Drosophila melanogaster: one gene and its partners. The protein of the gene in region 1 interacts with the protein of each later gene in a pairwise test. Each region holds a gene or a part of one and is shown on either strand. Other genes may lie near its edges.

Evidence for each region.
Region 2: the proteins of indra (region 1) and CG7974 interact in a two-hybrid assay, tested with the Drosophila melanogaster proteins (one large-scale study listed by BioGRID).
Region 3: the proteins of indra (region 1) and CG14341 interact in a two-hybrid assay, tested with the Drosophila melanogaster proteins (one large-scale study listed by BioGRID).
Region 4: the proteins of indra (region 1) and CG6951 interact in a two-hybrid assay, tested with the Drosophila melanogaster proteins (one large-scale study listed by BioGRID).

The regions. Positions count from the first base shown.
Region 1 is NT_037436.4:1,338,818-1,344,395, forward strand, and holds indra (indra), read right to left. Parts: upstream 3,587-5,578; 5' UTR 3,575-3,586; coding exon 3,555-3,574; exon of another isoform or gene 3,253-3,554; coding exon 3,111-3,252; intron 3,045-3,110; coding exon 1,005-3,044; 3' UTR 643-1,004; downstream 1-642. Other genes in the region: Hmbs (hydroxymethylbilane synthase), read left to right, coding at 1-353; Ptp61F (protein tyrosine phosphatase 61F), read right to left, coding at 5,511-5,578. UniProt on the Drosophila melanogaster protein: Required for rDNA copy number maintenance and non-random sister chromatid segregation (NRSS) following unequal sister chromatid exchange. Binds ribosomal DNA (rDNA) preferentially binding to intergenic spacers (IGS) regions on both X and Y chromosomes.
Region 2 is NT_037436.4:1,663,375-1,667,421, forward strand, and holds CG7974 (uncharacterized protein), read left to right. Parts: upstream 1-1,763; 5' UTR 1,764-1,876; coding exon 1,877-1,992; intron 1,993-2,046; coding exon 2,047-2,660; intron 2,661-2,715; coding exon 2,716-2,870; 3' UTR 2,871-3,220; downstream 3,221-4,047. Other genes in the region: Srrm234 (Serine-arginine repetitive matrix 2/3/4), read right to left, coding at 546-647, 1,158-1,396; RpL23A (ribosomal protein L23A), read right to left, coding at 3,972-4,047.
Region 3 is NT_033779.5:1,164,662-1,168,055, reverse strand, and holds CG14341 (uncharacterized protein), read right to left. Parts: upstream 1,551-3,394; 5' UTR 1,497-1,550; coding exon 1,134-1,496; intron 1,074-1,133; coding exon 894-1,073; 3' UTR 845-893; downstream 1-844. Other genes in the region: Plap (phospholipase A2 activator protein), read left to right, coding at 1-44, 102-813; IntS14 (integrator 14), read right to left, coding at 1,695-2,917, 2,976-3,394.
Region 4 is NT_037436.4:20,239,051-20,245,932, reverse strand, and holds CG6951 (uncharacterized protein), read right to left. Parts: upstream 4,667-6,882; 5' UTR 4,393-4,666; intron 4,371-4,392; exon of another isoform or gene 4,249-4,370; intron 4,089-4,248; exon of another isoform or gene 4,030-4,088; intron 3,428-4,029; exon of another isoform or gene 3,136-3,427; coding exon of another isoform or gene 2,476-3,135; exon of another isoform or gene 2,198-2,475; intron 1,769-2,197; 5' UTR 1,767-1,768; coding exon 1,356-1,766; intron 996-1,355; coding exon 795-995; 3' UTR 621-794; downstream 1-620. Other genes in the region: Clc (clathrin light chain), read right to left, coding at 2,476-3,135; CG17233 (uncharacterized protein), read left to right, coding at 5,438-6,070, 6,320-6,882. UniProt on the Drosophila melanogaster protein: Supplies the nucleotide substrate for thymidylate synthetase.

The DNA of each region.
Region 1 (5,578 bases):
TTGCAACTTCCTCCAAGTGTCCCTTTGCGGCCATGCATCAGGGCAGCGGTCTTGAGGCGCCGGCTAAGGACAACGGAAACGCAGCCACAGCCAAGTGCCCGTTCCTGCAGAAAACGGTCCAAATGTTCGACTACGCCGACGAGGAGCAGCCGACGCCGCAGCACTCGGTGCTCATTGAGGATGTGGAAAACCTGTTCTGCGGTCTCTACCAGCACGCCTGTCACAGTCGGGGCATCTACGAGAAGGCCAACCAGCTGGGCAAGACGCTGGCGGAGGACCTGATCAAGCGCGGCGCCCTCGACGTGATGAAGGTGGCCCAGGCAGAGATTCACGGCAAAGTGGCGTCGTCTTGAGCCCGTCATCAATATCATCGTTTACATTAAGTAGAAAAGTGTAACTAGACAAAATGTTTTTCATTTCCGCCTCGTTGTTGAACTCCCGTGGAGAACTCATGCTTCCCCTGATTTAACATCGGTATTGTATTCAATCCTTCTGCTCTCCCCGGCGAATGCATCGTTAATGGTTGGTTTCCGCGTAAACGTTATTTTAGTTTTGTTTTTGTTTCGGGAATATGACAAATAAATGTATAAGTGAACTCATATTGTGTCATTTTTTCTCTCCACTGATTGAAACAAGCAATTTCGTAGCTTTTTGCCATTTTTTATTAACAGTTCATCGCTCAGTACAAATATGTTTATTACATTCAAGCTAATTTATATACTCTTGGTGAGTACAAGTGGTGTAACCAATGCGGTTATAATAAAGTCTTAATATACAAATTAAACTTATCTTTTGAATTGAACTTAATAATAGTTAAAAATGTATGAAGTAACCTTGTTATAAATTGCAGTTTTCATCGACTTTTATCAACTTTATATAGACCCTTTCAAAGTTAGCCATTGAAAATTCAAAGAATTATACTTAACATAGCAATAAGCTAACGTAAAACTACATTGGTCAAGAGAATGAAATGAAAAACAAAAATAAAAGGGAGTCTAGTGCAACTAGTGGCGCTTGCGCAGGTGCGAGGATAGGAAGTTGGCCTCCGTGAAGACCTTCTTGCAATTGGCTACGCCGCATGGAAGTCCACCTTCGGAACCACAGTTCGAGAAGTGAGCCACGTAATCCATTTGGTTCTGGTAGACTTCCTTGCATAGGGTGCACTGTAGTTTGGCGGCGTGCTTTTTCTCCATGTGCGAGTCCAAGCGTTGACGCGATTTGACGAACTTCCCGCACCGGTCGCAGCTGAGGGTCGACTCGTCGGCTGTTGAGTCACCAATGGACTCCAGGCGAGCCTTTTTGTGCGGCCGCACGTTGTAGTTGATTTCTTCCACTATGTCTACATCAGATGAGGGGAGCGTGTCCTCAGATTTGTCTTGTTTTTTTCGTTTTTCTGACTTTGCAGGCGAATTGCCATTGGTTGTGGACACAGACAGATCTACGTGACTGGTCTTCTTTGTCTTTTTAGCTGGCGACCGAGGTGCAATCATGCCTCCATCGACCTGGTGCTGAATGTTGTTCCTGGATCGTATAATCTTTTCTTCTGCGGGTCCTTCATCATCCTCCGCGGTGTTGTCAGTCTTAAAAGCGTCCACAATTTCCACAACCTCATCCTCTTCTTGCAGAATCTTTCGGTTGGTGAACTTTGCGGCTTTAGTAGGGCTTTGTTGTGATTTCTTAGGTCCTTCAACCTTCTCGGCCGTGTTTTCAATCTGAGTCGTACCCAGAATGTCTACGTCCTCATCCTCGTCCTGCAGAATCTTTCGCTTGCTGGAGTTCGGCGCTTCAGCACCGTCGGCATGTAGAGTCATGTGCGTTTTCAGCGACTGTTTGGTAGCCAAACTCTTCTCGCAGACGTGGCACTTGAAAACCTTTGGCTTGTCGATGCTGTGGACGGTCTTCATGTGCTCCTGCATCTGCTTGGCGGTCATCAGCTCACAGTCGCAGATCTCGCACTGAAAATTATTCGAATCCGCCCTGGGAGTGGAGGCGCTGGATCCATTGATGGCAAATGTATATTCCGAGTCGATCACGTTCTCTAACATCCTTTTCTTCATTAATGACTCATTTAGCGCTTTAAAGGAGGCGATTTTGGTAGCCTGGGTCTGGTCTGCGTCCTCACTATCTGTGCCCTTTTTGTTGTTCACTTGGTCGTCGATTTCGTCAACCACTTTGGTTTCAACATTACATTTGATCTCTGTCTTTTTCTCTTTGGACTTTTTTTCTTTTGGCTTCTTCCTTTGACTCACAGCATTGGTCTCCTTTGCCTTTGCGTCAATTTTATTCTTGGCCCCTGACTTAGCCTCTTTTTCCTTGCTTTCCTTCGCCTTAGTCTTAGCCTCGCTTTCAAAAGTGCGTGAGTGAGTGTCCCTTAAATGATTTTTCAAAGTCTTAAGCACTCCAAAAGTCTTAATACACAAGGTACAGGGGTATATGCGTGGTCTTTGAAGACCGTGCTCCTTCTGCAGATGCTCCTTGTACGGTTTGGGAAACTTTGCGTGAAATTCGCACTCTGGACACTGAAAGTTATTTGTGTTAATGGTGATAGGACCTTTATCCGAGTCCTCCTCTTCCTCGCTCTCGGTCAGTACTTCGATGGCATCGTTGCCGCCGTTGCCAAAGAGATTAAGGAAAGCCTTTTTAGTAGACGACACCTCTTTGGCGGGCGTCAGCTTAACCGAATCGTTAAGATTATCCTCGAAGAGTCGAGATATCTGCTTTTTAGGGGTCTTATCGAGTTTCTTGGGCGAAGCACTAATGATCTCGATTTCTGTATTAGTATTAGCTCCATTCACAAAGCTTGGCGGGAAAGCTGCTATGGACTTGCTGCGCTGACGGAGGGTGGTGTTCTTTTTTGGCACCTTAACCGCCTTCTTATCGCTTTCCTGTGTCGATGGCTCCTCTATTTCCGCTACCTTAGTCTTCTTGGCGGGCTGCTCCTGTACCCTGTCCACCGTCTCGCGGACCTTCTCGATTAGTGCCGCGCTGGACATGAATGTGGAGGTGCAGACGAAGCATATCTTGATGGGCAAGGATGATGGGATCTGAAATGGGATGGGATGATTTAGATGACGAGAAGGGAAATCAGAATGCCGCCATTTCCAACTCACGCTTCTGTGGGTGATGGTCTCCAGTACGTCTGTTATTTTCCTGCCCAGGAACACCTTCTGACCTGAAAAAACACTCTTGGACCCTTGGCTTGTGCCGCAATGGTCGCATCGCACCTCTTTTTGCACCTTGGTCATATTTTCACTAAGTTTTCCAGCAAAAACAAAAACAGAAATCAAACAACGTGCGCACGTTTTTTTTTTTGCGGGGCTACAGTTACCAAACACTGCTATCTATGTTAATCAACTGCAGTGCTGCCAGACCGAGTCACCAAAATATACCACATAGTGTGCTTATATATTATGGTTGCACGTTAAAAGAAGCAACTGCAGAACGTTCGCAGAACGAATCTTAATCTTAATAATTTTTGCATCAAATTTAGAAAGAGTGTAGAAAACAGTTTTTAAACTACCTATAATGGCAGTAGCAACTTTAAAAAATATTACCAAAGCAGTATATTGCGCATTCCGGTCACACTAAGTTACATTAACATTCTGTTAATGCTCACGTCGCGTTATGCAACAGCTTTGCGTGTCGATATATAATCGATAACTCTGAACTTGGTTTCCAATTTAAAAATAGTTTATTTAGGCATTAGAAGCTACAGTAATGCAAAATGATATGTTTAGTTTGTTTCTTTGTGTTGGTGCTGACCTGGATGGGCTGTGCCGTTACTTTGTCTTGGATTTTTTGAGTCGGTTCCCGCGCCTGCAAACAAAGAGATGAAAAATGTTATGAATGACAAGGACATGGCAAGGGAATGCGCCAGGATCAAGCGGTTCGCAGTTTTCATGTCTTAAACGTATAGCTTTATTTGAATACTTTCTCTGCTCCTCCTTTCTCTTTCTCTCATAGGCATAATATTGTATAGTACTGTGTTGTGTTGGATTTGTTTCAGTGTACGGTTGGTGTACTTAGCCGACGTTTAGTTAACTAGGCATTACTAGGTATTGTTCATGTTGTTTCTGTTAAATATACTTAATATAAATATGTATTTCCTTTATTTGTTATCCTCCTGGGCCCATCCGATTTCATATGGATTCATAGTGCCTCGCTTTCGGGGGTGGTTACTTGAATTTTGTTAAAGTGTGGGTTACACATATAAAAAATATTTGCGTCCTCTCACGCTACACGTTTATATAAATATGTTTCTTGGGATTGGGACTGCACACTTACTCTACTGGAAAAACCATTGAATAGTCTTTCGCCTTCTTCGTTCTCTCGTTCTAATACAAAATGGTTTCGCTATGGCAAAACCTGGATTATAATTAAATCATACACCTATACTTCGCTTAGCGACTTAGTAAACCGATTTTAGTTTAATTTGATTTGCAACTAGCCACGTGCAACTAGTCCACGGTCACAATTTGAAAAAAGAATCACTTTATTTTGATTTCAGATCGATCGGGGGCGAGTGTGCGAAATGAACAATTTTGATTATAACACTCCTTAAAAGCGTTAAACGAGATATAGGTGTACATCGAGCTGTTTTGTTTAACCGTAAGTTATTGCTTTAATGGCGCTGAATTTCGATTCATTAATAAAGTGCTCGTTTAAGGGGGGACAGGGTCTTTAATTTTAAACACAACAATTCAAAGTTAGTGGTAGTGGTAGGCGGGAGGCAAAGTAAAATTAAGAGTCGTTTAGGACACTTCGTACAATTCTCCGATTCGGTTCTTTTTGGCACATTGCTGCACTTTATATTTTGCCATGTACTACAACAAGTGGTGGTTTCTCATAATCTTCATAAATAAATATACATAGGTCGTATGCTATAAGAAATTGCTGTACAACAACAAGTGAAGCGTGTAGTGGGTGGTTGTCGGGTGCTTGAAACATTGGTAGTTATGATATTCTTAATATTTTAAGCATAGCGAGCAAGTAGGGTGAGCTTTGCATTTGGTATGGCTCGTTTGGGGCATCTGGTCGGTTATCAATCCATTTTTAGAGTGTAGAAAATAAATTTGATCTAAAATGTCAGTCTATTGCGCAAAATCTACATTTGACGTGATTTCTACCCGATTTTCGTTAGTTTAGTTTAGTTGCTTCTTTTCTTTCATTTGTTTCTTTTGTTTTCCTTCTTGTATTTCGTATATAAAAAATTCCCTAATATTTATGCATCTTGTATCGTTCGTTCAGCTCAATCAATCCGCCATCCGCAATTCGTGTGCGATTGCATGGCGTTGCGATGCGATTCCGTCCGATCTCTGATCCTTTCCGATCCGTTGCACGTCGTCCTTGATTCGTTGCCCGCATTAGATGCCGGGTCAGGCGGACGAGCAGGTGGGGATCGGAAGTCGGAAATCGGGTATCAGGGGAGGAATCGGTCTCCTACGGCAACTAAATACGTCATACAGCTATTGCTACTACTGATCTACGACTACTTAGTGGCTACGGGGCACTTAACCTAGCTTCGTGTATGCGTAGGCGCAGATCACGCCCACCACAACACCAGCGGCAATATATGTGA
Region 2 (4,047 bases), 320 kb from region 1:
GATTGCTAGGCTTATGGATGCATTTGCTGCTGAGCTCCTGACGGGGCGGATATCGATTTTTCCAGCGATTTTCCAGCGCTTATCGTGCCTTTTTTACCAGGTCCCCTGAGACGGCTCCTCTGCGCCACCTCCATCGCCAGCTCCTCGCCAAGGGCACTTAGTGGGTCGTTTTAGCAGGCGGTTATTGCTTTTAATTTGTGTGTAAATATATCTGGCTGCTACGCGGCGTTTCCTGAGCGCTTTGGCCAACTTGCTGTGGCTTTGGAAGACTTGAAGTGACTGAAAGCCGTGCGCATCCCGGAAAATCTTTGCAGCAGCTTTTTCTCTACCATGCGACGCCTGTGATTGGCCCCCGAATGAATGAAAGAAGGGGTGGCGAGTTGGGCGCTGCGGCGGCGCATGTCTTTTCTTGGATGTGGTTTACAGCTGTCGTGCGCTGGCCGAGATTTGAGCAGGCCTTCGGTTTGTTTAAGAGCTTATTGATTTGTCCACTGGGCGCACGTTTTGCTTTAAATTACATAAGCTATTAAAAGCGTGGTACTTACGCTACGCGTCCGAATTCATCTTTGGCCAGATCTGTTTTGCCCTGTCCCATCAACTTCTGGCGGAAGGAGTCCACCTGCGACTTAATTTCCTCCGGGGTGCGTCTGTAATAATTCAATTTTAATGGATAAGATAATTAGCGTGGCTCTATATCTAAAGTTCGTAATTCTACCTTTAAGACTAGCTTGATTAGCTCAAAAAAGGCTTAAATATGGATGATGTTTCACCTATCTAGATTGTTAAATTAGCTAAGGAGTGCTTAGATTTCAGTCCGCTTGCCCGGACATGCGGATGTCTTTCACTCAAAATAATCTCTACAACTGAAATGCACTTTTTTCACCACCAGCCGAGTTCGTGCCACCGGAAGAGTGCTCACATGTGACGCACCGAGCGGGTGGAGGAAGCCCTGCCCGCGTAGGGGTGGCTCGCCAACGGGCTGGGGGTAGTTCAGTGCTCAGTTCGGCGCGTGTGCGTCCGCTCTCTGGCGTGCAGGAGCAGCTACCAGGCGCCAATGTAAACATAAACAGCGAAGGAAGCAACAGCCCCAGGCCGGCGTTATATAACCCGGATTGACATTACATACTGGCATGTAATTGCCCATGTCCCCTGCTCACCCCTGCTTCTCGAGAATGTCCTCCAATTCCAGGCACTTGACTTCGATCTTGCGCTTGCGGTCGTGGTCCAGGATCTCCTTGTTCGGCGGCCGGTTCAGCTGGGCGTCCAGCTTCTTCGTGTCGTCCTCGGCGCGGTAGTCCTTGTCCTTCTTCCCGGGCCGCACACATGCCCAATTCCGCTGCACGTGCCCATTGGTGCCGGAGCCACGGGGCGTGGTCAGGCCAATGCCGTTGTACATGCTGGTCTGCGATGTCCTGCAAATTCCTCTTAACTATCAACGACTCCCGGCGGCCACTGGGTGCTCCACCAACGCTGCAATTGCACCACACGAAAAATCGATTTCAGTTGCAGTGCAAGTGGTGTTCGACTTGTCTGGCTTTCTCACCTCTGTTATATGTCCTGCGGCGCTGCTATCCAAGCGCTGGCTTTACTAGGCTGCCTAACTTTTCAGTAGTTTATTCCTTTTTGTCAAAATATTCGACTAGATATGCGACAATATGCCGCCCTCAGTGTGACCAGATGACAAATGTCGCCTAAATGCTCCCTAGCTGTCAATTCCACAATGAAGCTAACATGAGTGGATCCTGTTCAAAGCAACGAAGTGGATGTTATCAGTGAAGTGAAAATCGGCGAAACGGGCACACTAATAGCTAAACGTAAACAACAATATTACACTTATTTTATCTTAAGAAATATATAGATTTATTAGTCTAAAATCATGAGCGATGCAGAGGAAACAAAAGCAGAAGCCACCACCAAAGTGTTGTTCAAAAAAGCCGGTCGAAAAAACCTAAGGCAACGCAAGAATTCAGACGAAGAAGAAAAGGAGGAACAGTAAGCCGTCAACAATTAGAAATGAATTAAACTAAAGTGTTCATTTCTATACAGATTAACGCTAGATGAGATTAAAGAACGCCAGCGCCTCAGGCAGCGACCCAATGGCGTCAGCCTTGTGGGACTGGCGCTGGGCAAGAAGATCGCGCCAGAAGAGGAGCTGGCCATCAAGGATCCCTTTAATGTGAAGACCGGTGGTCTGGTCAACATGAAGCAGCTGAAATCGGGCAAGATGAAGGAGGCGGACGACGCCTACGACGTGGGCATTGGCACGCAGTTCTCGGCGGAGACGAATAAGCGGGATGAGGACGAGGAGATGATGAAGTACATCGAGCAGGAGCTGCAGAAGCGCAAGGGAGGCGGCACGGAGGACGCAGCAGAGGACGACGGTGATGTAAACAAGTACCTGACCCCCGAGGATGCCGCCCTGTACGCCCTGCCCGACCACCTGAGGCAGTCTTCCTCGCACAGATCGGAGGAGATGTTGTCCAACCAGATGCTCAATGGCATTCCTGAAGTGGACCTGGGCATTGTGGCCAAGATCCGCAACATAGAGGCCACCGAGGAAGCCAAGCAGAAGCTGCTGCAGGACGCCAAGAACAAGAAGGACGGACCCTCGCAATTCGTGCCCACCAACATGGCGGTGAACTTCATGCAACACAATCGATGTGAGTTCCCAAGTGTGAAACGTTTCCGCGGATACTAAACCTTTGTTACTTCCAGTCAACATCGAGGACAACAGCGATCAAAGGAGGCGCAAGCGTGAGGAAAGGGAGGGCAACAAATCCGCACAGCATCAGACGAATCCCAATGGAGTCAAGCGAGCCACAGATGACTACCATTATGATAAGTTTAGGAAGCAGTTCCGCAGATACTAAAGATACGAGTGCCAGCAATAAAATGTACAATTGTTTAGGTTCAGGATTCTGTTTTATTTCTATATATATTTCAATTAAATGTACTTTAAGAATTAACTCATTAATCCATTAATCGGGCCACTTCTGTAAAAATAAAAGCAAACACTTGGTTAGTTATGCTTCACAACGATGAACATATTTGCTTTTATGCTTGCAATCAGTGAGAGACAAAATTAATTTCAAAGCAACGAATGACTGAGGCTCAATGAGATTCCTACTCAAAATATCATCACAATAAAGAAGTTGTCAGTAACTAAAACAGATACACACCTTATAAGAAGTTAGTCCAGAGAATCGGGAAACAATGGCGCAACTGAAATGAATTAAAAAAGAATTGTTAAATAAAGCGCTTTAAGAGAAGCCATTGTTGTTTGAAATGATTTGATCAGTGGGAGATTAAAATTGATTTCATAGCTACAGGTAGCTCAATGAGATTCCTACTCGAAATATCATCAGAGCAGATTACAATTCAAACTACTCCATCCGAAATATACACACCTTGAAGAATTTCATATCCAAGGATCCAGATACGAGCCAGATTGAAAACTGAAACGAAATAAAGTCTTGATTAGCTTGGTTTGGTTGAGTTCAGCTTCCTTGAGCATAATGCTATCAGTGGAGATAAAATTGATTTCATGGTTATTTCAATGAGATTCCTACTCGTAATATCATCAGCTAAGTGTTATACATTAAAATTACAAAATAAAACTTTAATTACCTCTTCGTTTAGCAAGTTAAGCTTCCCATTTAAAGACAGCCTGCGATAGAAGGTAGTATTAGCAAATTGAAAGATTGCTTGTTATTAAAAACTCACCAATTTAGAGCGCTAAAACCTGAAGTATCCAATCTGAAAGAGAAAACTGAAAGAAACTCAGAACCCATTGAGCCCACATTGAAAACCCACACTTAGTTTTTGAGTGGTTTTATTAAACCCAGACAACTTTGAAACGTTCATCCTCGCTCTACCGTGTCAGCTTAGCATTACTTTGTTTATAGAAAAGAATCTACATATAAAATGTAGAACGCGATGCCCATTCCACACGTTACCGCAGATTGCAGCGCTTATATGATGCCGATCTTGTTGGCAATGTCCAGGGCGTCGTAGTCGCGCGCCAGGCGCACATAGGCCTTCTTCTGG
Region 3 (3,394 bases), on another chromosome or scaffold:
ATCTTCGACACCTGTGATGCCAAGAAGGTGCTAGAGAAAATGATGTGGGTTTAGATATTTTCTCAGCTAATCCCCAACTAATCCCTACATCTCTTTGGCAGAGAGTTCAATGGCAAACTAAGCCTACCTGATGGAAGAGTGGGAGAGGAGGTCTTGTTGGCCGTAATCAAACTCGCCGATCAATCGCCTGAGCTCGATCTGACCTCCCTGGAAGCTCTGGCCATCCTGCTGAAGTGGCCGGCGTCCATGCAGTTCCCCGTGCTGGACATCCTTCGCCTGGCCGTGCGAAATGAAGCCATCTTCAGTGTCCTGAACAACAGTCACAACTTCCTGGCGACCGTTATCCCTCAATTGAGCGGCTCGGCACCCAACCAGCTCATGGTGGTGCGCTGCCTGGCCAACATCATGAGCCACGCCGCCGGCCGGCAAAATGTGATGTCCCGTCTGGCGGAGATCATCGATCTCGTGGGAGCCATCAAGACGGGCAGTGCCAATCTGCAAATTGCCGTGGCCACCTTCTATTTGAACCTCACAATCTCCCAGACTCTGGACGTGGCGAAGTCGGAGGTGTGTCATGTGGTCACCTCCGGTATTGTGGAGCTGCTCAAGTGGGCCAAGGACTTGGAAGCGTGCTACCGTTCCATGCAGGCCATCGGCAACCTGACCACCACTTCGTGCGGCCAAGAGACCATTGCGCAGGTGGTGTCCGTGGACTATGTGATGGACAAGTTGAGGGAACTTACCATTACTCCGCAGGACAAGAACTTCAGCAAGGTGAATTCTGTGGGCCAGGCCCTGCTGGCTGTGTTCTAAGATCTCCGCCAAGCAACTTCTTATGATCATTCTAAATTATACATATATTGGAGAACTTTTTTTCTAAATACACACAAACGCTATTCTTTCTTGGAATGCTGATGACTCTCGCGCGACGACGACGTTGAGGGTTCGGGTGGATGGTGCCGGTTGTTAATCCGGTCCAGCAGCTCATGCTTCCAATGCTCCTCGGGCACTCCTCTGGCCCAATCCGGCACTGTGATGTTGGGTAACGTTATAGTGGACATCGCTTTGAGTATCTGGAGTGTCGGGATGAAAGTTGCTGGCATGTCTCGCAATTGTAAATCGGAATGTCTTACCTGTTCCGTTCGAGTTTTGTCAAGATCCATTTGGAGTTCCCTGGGTCTTGGTTCACTCCAGACTTGTCTCTCGATTTCCACGTCAGCGGGCTCAATGGCAGGCATGTTGGGGTCTCCGTGGGTGACTGGGGCAGTCATCAGGTCAACATCTTCGTCATTATCCGCGGACGGGGTCTCCTGCTCCCTGGACATCTCCTCGGGATCCGCTGCATCGTTCTCCTCATCCAAAGCGAGTGGTTGGTAGCCGTCGTATGCATCCGAATCATCGTCATCCTCGCTCTCCACCCCTCCCCGTGGATGGTCAACCGGTGGGGTTGGAAGTCCCTCTTGACCGGGATCTGAGGGCAATTCTGGACTTCCCATTATTATTTTTACGACTTTTATTGTTACTATATTATTTGGTCATCGATAACGATAACGCCAAGCGGCCAGTGCTGTGAAGTGCAGAGATGAAAAATACCGTTACGCTTTCATTAAAGCCCGAACTTTTAAGATTTAAATTTTTACGATTATTTGTATTACAAAGTAAACACAGTCTTAAAGTAAGGACATAAAAAATTTTCAATACATGTATGCAGGAGCAGGAGCCGTGGCAGCCGTGCTGCCCGCATCCGATGCACCAACTTTCTGGAGCGGAACAATCATGGACTTCATGTCTCTGTTCGAGGTCTTCCGCAACTCCGTAGCCGCGTGCTGCAGCTGCAGGGTGCAGTCGTTGCTGGCTCCGTTCAGGCTGAGATGGGCGCACTCCTTCTCCAGCAGCATGGCCAAAGCCTCCAGCAACTCGACGAATCCCAGCGCCAGGGCAGCGCGGCGGATGCGATTGAGCTCCTTGTAGAAGTGCTGCGTCTTGTCGGGCATCTTCTTGGCGTGTCGCAGTACCTTCTGGACGTCGGACTGCAGGCTAGCCTGTCGTATCCACACCACACTGCTCTGCGAATAAGATCTGCGGTCGGCACGCACCGGAAAACTGGCCGTCTCTCCGGGCGCCAAATCCTCGGGGAAGCCCAGCGATTCCAGGTCTCCTAGCCAGGGAATCACGTTCGTGCCGGGTGGAAGTATGTTCAGCATCAGGTTTGACTTCTTCTTGCTGTCGGTGAATGCATATATGAATCCGTACCACTTGTCACCCACTCGAACCAGAGCTGCCATGTTCTCCATTTTGAGGGCTCCGTGAAGGAGGACGCACAAGTTTTCTTTTTGTTGCTCTGTCTGGGGGCCGGGTTTCAAGACAATGGTCACATCGTCGTCGCCACTTTCCTCCGTGTCTTTTGAATCCTTGGCGTAAAACTCTTTGATATCGGCTTCCAGCTTCTCCAGCTCGTAGTTGGGATTGCTGGTATCTAGATTGAGCTTCGGTGGCTTGGCTGCTGCGCTCAGGTTTCCAGACCTCCGACTGCTGCCGCTCTTCTCCCGCTCCACTTTGGGCAGCACCCAGTGTCGACTCAGGGTGGCCGGTGATCCAATGTCCGAAAGGGACAGGAAGCCACACACCTCAATCTTCTGGTCTGTGTGGCGAATGGTGGGTTCTCGGCCGAATATGTGGGACTTTTGCTCATACGGAGCCGTCGGTGGCCAGAGCAGAACAGATGCCTCCATGCGGAAGTAGCTGCCGCATTTCAGGGTCACCTCCGAACTCTTGTAGCTGGCCTCGCAGAGACGTTCAATTAGTTCGAAGACCGTAGTGCGGCCCAGTTCGCTTTTGTGGCTGGGGTTCGGGTTGGGATTGGGATTTCCCTCGACTGCATCGCTGCTCTTGGCGGGCTTTGTCATGAAGAGCTGGCCTGGAAACGTAGGTACACCATTAGTTACATGAATATCTTTGAATAGAGTGCAGCTCACCCTTCAGTGAGACCTTGTCCAGCAGCTGCTGGTACACCGCCAATCCCCTGGTGAAGTAGTAATCGCCGTGCAGGCCCAGGCAGATGAAATTCAGGTTGTAGTTGGCCAGAGTCTTCAGGAAGCCGAACTCCGGCTCCGACTCCTTTTCGGCGTAGGCCTCCAGGAAGCCCGTGATCGAGGTGTTGCCAAAGCCGAGGCCGCAGTCCGTAAAGACAACCACCTGCAGGATGTTCTGGTTGCCCCACGGCGACATTATGGACACCACCGCCTTGAGCATGCTCATCAGGCAGGCCTTGTCCACGGGCTCCACCTTCTTGACCGCCTGCCGCACCTGGTCGTAGTCCCGCGTGAAGTCCACCTTCAGTTCCGCCGTCGTCGAATAGGAGAGCAGAGCAACGTGCTCCAATTTGCCGGCCGCC
Region 4 (6,882 bases), about 19 Mb from region 1:
AATTTTCAAGGTCCTTTAATTACGGAGCTATAAAGTGGCACAGAGTAGTTTCCATTACACATATACCCTGTTTTTAATTTTCGATCAGTATAATTATTAATTTAACTTTTTAGGAATGAATTATGGGATTTAATTCCAAGATTCAATATGAAAATACCATGTACTTTTACCTGAGTAGAGCACTTCCATGGCGCTTTTGGTCTCCGGTGGACACCTGTGCATGCTAAGAGTCTCACCTGACAGTCTTCTGTTTGCCAAGTCAATTAGTGCAAGTGAACACTCTTCCCAAATGGGTACTAATTAAAAAACATTTTAAGTATCTTTGCGTGCGGATAAAATGAAGCGTCTAATCGTTTATGCTCTGCAAAAAAGGAGCAATACTCAACGAAAAACTATTGTTTTTTATTCCCTATTAGGTTAGAATATGTACGTTTTGGGATCTAGATAAGTTCTGCTTTTGATTTTGACTATACTTTTACGAACATATTTGAACAAACGTCAAAGGAAGTGGTCAGATTCAATGATTTACTGGATTTTGATTTTAATATCGATTACAGGGAACTCATTTTCCGAAGCATTTTTCTGACTCACAGATAGAAAAGAACATCGTTTTACGTTTTGCTTTTTAGTTAAACTGTATTTTTTTATTTATATTAGTACTGCCAAACTAAGTATAACTTAATTAGCATGCTATTAAATTTATTTATCATTTGTCTACATATTTAGTCCGATCACGTCAAATTTACTTTAAACACATTAAAAGTTGTCAAGATAGCTAAGATTGTATTAGTACATTACAAATGGAGTTCGTTTAGTCCCAGGGATGCATTCGGATCTTCTTCCGGGAAGGTGTCAAAATCAATGGTGATCGTTTTTTTCTGGGGGATGTGTCGCTTATATTCCACGCCCACTGCATCCAGCATCCGCTTGGATGCACGATATGTGGGCTTATCGGCATATTTGTCGGACAAATATAGCACCTGAGATATGCCCACCTGGAATACAAATAGGTTAATTTATATGTTATGATATGTATGTACTATATATTCTTGATCAATTTTAGAAGATGAGTTCATAAAGCTGCCGTCCGTTTGGTCGTCCTTTCGTTTTAACGAAAAACTTAAAACCTTTTTGAAGCCGTGAAACTATTGGAAAGATTGTGCTTCCATGTTTGTGATCATATATTGGTGTAATTTTGTACACAACCGTTGTTTTTCCATATATTAATTCGTTTTTCATTTTATCAAAATAGGACGACTAAATTATACAGCTGCCATATGAAAATATTAAAGTTGCATTTCAAATAATAGAACAGAAATCCTATATTCGGCTTCCTTCGTTAATATTAGTTTTACCTGTATAATGAGTTTGGCACATTCGTTGCACGGAAATAGTGTGGTATACAGTCGAGTTCCAGACAAACTCATGCCGTTGCTGTTCAGGATTGCATTGGCCTCCGCGTGGACCACGTACATCTTCTTGTCTTCCAGGGGATCAAATTCCTGCGAGCCTTTCTTAGCTTTTGACCACGGAAACACGTCATCGCTGCAGTTGCGAGGGAACCCATTGTATCCAATGGCCACTATCCGATTCTGGGAATCCACGATGCAGGCGCCCACTTGGGTGACGGGATCTTTGCTGCGTTTGGCGGAGAGCAGTGAGGTGGCCATAAAGTAGTCATCCCAATGCAGATATTCCTTTCTCTTGTGGCTTTCGGGTGACTTCGACAACTGGGATATCAAATCTTGAGCGGAAACTTCAGCCATTTCTGCAAAACAAGTAGAAAACCTTATTAAGCGATGGAAATAATTAAATTATGATTTCTGATATCCACTTTTCATTATCGTAATTGGTTTCTTTATGCGTATTTCATTCATATAATGCATACATTAAACCAGCTCTGCAATGACAAATACTTGCCTCAGTTGTCTGTATGTCTTTATTTTAATAATCATTTAATGAATGCAAATCCATACACAACCATATTCCATTTCCAACCCATTGATATTTCCAACACACATATATGATGAAAACAAGTTGTATGTGTATAACTAACTAGAGATAAGAATAATAAATGGTTTGTATAATGCGTTTTATAGAGCAATAAATATTATTTACAACAAAACTGGAAGTAATTAAAGCCCCTTGATGTGCAACCCTGCTTGATTAACAAAATGAACGAAAAAACACTTTAGTTGTCATATCCTTGGTTTTATTTTTTATTTGTTCTTTTTCCTAACTTTTTCATGTCGTTTTTCTTATTTTGTGTGATGGGGTATATGATAGTCAAGGAAAGCATGACAACTGTGTGCACATTCTTTATTGCATTCATTAGACAAAACGATGATCGCGGCTATGTTATAGCAGCAATAATAATATTTTATGTATCATAAATTGGAATATACAGCGAATACTTTCAATAATAATTTTCATATTCAACTCAATGTGGTTAGGCGAGTGCGTAATTAAAACTACCTAGGTGCTCTTCTGCACCTGGATGGGATTCTGCTTGAGGTGCAGGTAGATGGATCGCATGCGGGAGACGTCCTTTCCCGCCTTGTTCACCTTGGGATTGAAGTCGCAGAGCTTGGCTATGCGCTCCCATTCGGTGCCCGGCTCGATGGTGCCATTCTCCAGGGTGGCGGCTTGTTTCTCGGCATTCCGCGACGCCAGTTTGGTCTTCGATATGGACTCGCCAATCTGGCGCAACCAGTCGTCCAGCTCCTTCTTGGACTGCTGTCGGAGTTCCTCCTTTTTTCGCTCCTCCTCGATGTCCTTCTCCTCCAGTCGTTGCTTTTGCTCTTCGCGCCATTTGCGTATCTTTTCGGGCTCTTCCCGCGACGGCGGCGGACCGGATATGCCCACGGGTTCATTGGACTCGCCACCAATGACCTCAAAACTGCCAGTGGAGGATTCGAGGCCACCCGTGCCGCCAGCAGAGAGCAGATCGCCTTCGGAGGCGGTGCCTCCCAGAAGCTCACCCAAGCCCTCGTCTGTGGATGCAGCCGGAGGAGCTGATGCAGATCCACCCGTAATCTCCGCCTCCAAGTCCCCGAGAGCTGACTGTTCGCGCGCCAGGAACTCGGCCGCCGGATCCACGTCCTCCTTGGCAGCGAAATCGTCTCCGAAGTCCATGGCTATGTGCTCTCTGGAAATGTTGTGATTGCTATTTAGTGGGCGTCTCACCCAGATTTACACGTACGCAGAGGAGCAGCCAGCTGCTGGCGGATTCCCCCCGATTCATTGACAATTGGGCACTACGCACCTCTCCTTTGATTCGGTTAGGACTAATTGAAGATCGGTGTGGGCGGATGACTAACCGGAAACTTGGTCAAATGTATTTTTTCAGTTTTCTTTTAGCAATGAATACGTAAAATGACTGTCATTAGTACGTGAACCAACCATAAAACAGCGGGCTATCGAACTGGTTCCAGCCGAACAGTGCTGGATAATGCAACATATATCGCAACGCGATGGTTTTAAATTTAATGTTATGATTTTTATATTAAAAAATAAATATTTTTTTACACCAGTTATTATGCCAAATCTTTTAAATGTATACAAATTAGTAATATTTAAGGAACAGAAACCATTGTTAACTATTTTACTTGTCAAAGCCGAATTCAACATTCCTTAACATCACGGATAACGAGTTAAAGATTTAGCTACATTTTGTATTATTAAGCTACAAGTTTATGATAATGTATGTTGAAAAAACCAAAGTAAGAACATTTAATTTTTCCTTAACTAAACTTTTAAATTATATCAGCAGCGTCAATTTTCCACTGGGTTTCTGGTCAATTAGTGTTGCAAAATGTGTAATGGTGGTGGCTTGATTCGTTCATATATAATTTAGAACCGTACATATAGTTAATAAAACCTAGATTTAATATAATATTTAAGTTTGGAATTATTTTATTTTTTTTTTTGTTTTCAGATTTTGTAAAGTTCTCATGGTTTTTGAAATCAACTAGTTCCAATTGATCAGTGTTAGGAAACGCGCGAGTTCAGTAAACACAACCTTCAGAGGAGTTACGATTAATTTGTTTATATCTTATCAAATGTGCCTTAATAAATGCTCGTAAAATGTAAATACACAACAAAGTTAACTAGTAATGACTGTAGACCCGATAAAAAGCGTATTATACAACACTTGTTGCTATTGCATAGCACATGGGAATATAATTGCTGGTCAAATTTCACGGTGAATTGTTCACACAACATGACTTAATTATGTTTTTGACTAACCTATGCCACGAAGAACACAAGACGCAGTATACTTTTTGAGGAAATTAACAAAGACGAAATGCGAGGACGACGGCAAAACAAACAATAAACACTCGGCGCGCGAACTAGTGAACCGATGAACAAGTTCACCGTGGCATCATTCACCTGAGCCAGTGGTTCGTTTTTCACTGGCAGCAGAGCGGCCATTTTGGAGATTGTTTCATCCACAAAAAAGTTATGCACCGAATCTAAAAAAAAGAACGTTCGCTGTTAGTTAAACATAAAATCCGCTCGTGCATATTGAAGCGTTGTTGTGCTGGCCGATCCGATGTGAAGATAATGCTGGGCCCGAGCAGACCGACAGTTCCGATTCTATAACGACTAAAAGTTAGTGACTATCTTCCAACACGCACGCATGTACGCCCGTGTGTGTGAGTATGTGTGTGTGTGTGTGTGATTGTGTGCATGGATACATATATGTACAAGCGGAAAATACGGGAAAAAATCCTATTCCCAGGCAGAAAAACATTGCCAAAAACAGCATAAATCCCAGCCAATGTGATGGCCCCGTCATTGTAATGTCATAAGTGAGCACCCACATTAACCCATTGACGCTGAAACTTCAAAAATGCGGTCTCCTTGCCGCCGAGCGCCAAGGCAAAAAATACAGACGCCAATTTTTTTGAAGGGGGAACCAAGCGCATCGTGGCCAAAAGGGATACAAAAAAAATGAAGATACGAAAAAAATAGGGGGATCCCTTCAGTGCAGAAAAGTTGGGGAACAAACACCCCAAAACTGGAGTGTTTCATTCTAAAGTGTACTTCTACTATGTGTTTATTGATTTACAATAAAAGATAAACAAAATATGTTTGACCACATATAAATATCAATAATTTTATAGTAATTATTATTGATCCATAAATAACATTAATTGAATTCGCGCCTTTTTCCCCTCTATATTATGAATGCCATGGCAAGCAACTTGTGATAACAATATAAATATGTTATAATCTAAGCTACCGCTAAATTGATAAATATGGGCGGGATTTTTAGACTTAACACATGACCATTGGAAATGTATCCGAGCAATAATAAACTCCAATTAGTTAATCCTTTACATATAAGCCGCTAATTATATTCAAAAACCACTAAAGTTTTGCTATTTGTTTCAGTTACCAGCCATCAGCAGTAGAAGAGCCCAAGCCAAACATGGATCCCAATTCCAGTCCCTGGTCATACGCCTACAACCGCATCGTGCCCGCCAGTGCCGGAAGCTCCGGCGGAACAGCAGAGGACTTCCAGCATCCACACCTGGCCACCATTACGGCAGCAAGCATCGCCAGCTTTAATGCGGCGGCCGCCAGTGGTGGCAGCTTTGTGCCTCCGTCACCGATTGGCAGCTACAACCCAGTATTCCAGCAGATCTACCACCATGCGGCGGCGGCCAGTGTCCAGCCTAAGCCCGCCCACTATGCCTCGTCAGCGGTGAGCACGCCGCACCGCCAGCTGCAGCTGCCCAGTTCGCTGGACAAGCAGCTCAGTTCGTTCCAGAACCAGGCGGCCGTGTCGGCGGCAGCGGCTGCTGTAGTCAACAATGTTGCCTCGAACTATTACGGGGAGAACTCCTCGTCGAGTGGAGCCTCACCATCGCCCACAACGGTGGCCCTGACGTCGACGTCGCTGACCTGGAACACGCCGAACATGATATCGAACACCTTCCTGGCCATGCAACAGCAGCAGGCACAGCAGCAACAGCAGCAGGCACAACAGCAGCAACAACAGGCCCAACAGCAACAGCAGCAGGCGCAACAGCAACAGCTAAACCTGGTGGCCGACAAAGTGGTGAGTAGAATTCGTTTGTTTTACGTTCGGCTTTCAGATCACTCTTCTATTATGGTTTACGCCAGCTTCTGGGGAAGCACACACACTTATTAAAACCCCGCAGGCTCTATCGCATTTATCGCATACTAACATAACATCCCTTCCAATAAACCCATCAAAGCATAGACTAAGTCTAGCCTCTCTATGTCGAATCAATCCCAAACCAAACACTTTCCGATTCCGATTCAATCTATGTACGGTGCGCTGTAGCAGATTAAGCAGGAAAAGCAATTAAAAGCCTACAACGACTCGATTTACCTGATCCAACTGCAACAGCAGCAGCAGCAACAACAGACAGCGGCGCAGCAGCAACAGCAGCAGCTCCACCAGCAACTGCAACAGGAGATCGCCGAGGCAGACACAGAACCGGACACCTATTACACCATTGATGGCCGGAAGGTCAAGGTGACGCGGAAGGATGGCCAGCCGTATCGGGCAACGATAGTAGACCAACAGGATGCCAGTCCGGTGCCGCTGGCAGTGCCAGTTCCGGCGGGATCCTATCCGGTGCAATATGCCAGTCCGGCGCTAAGCTCCGCAGATGGATCGCCCATCACGAATTTACATGCGGTGGACGTGGTCAGCACACCGCAGGCCCAGGTGATCGTCTACAAGACGGCATCCCCTGTGCAAAGGCGGCAAGAAGCGGGCGCTGGATCGTCTGCTGCTGCCACACCCACCACGGTGGCCTACTCATCTGTGATACAAAGCACCCTGCAGCAACAGCAGCAGCAGCAGAACCTCTGCTGGACGAAGCTGGAGGACAATGGAGC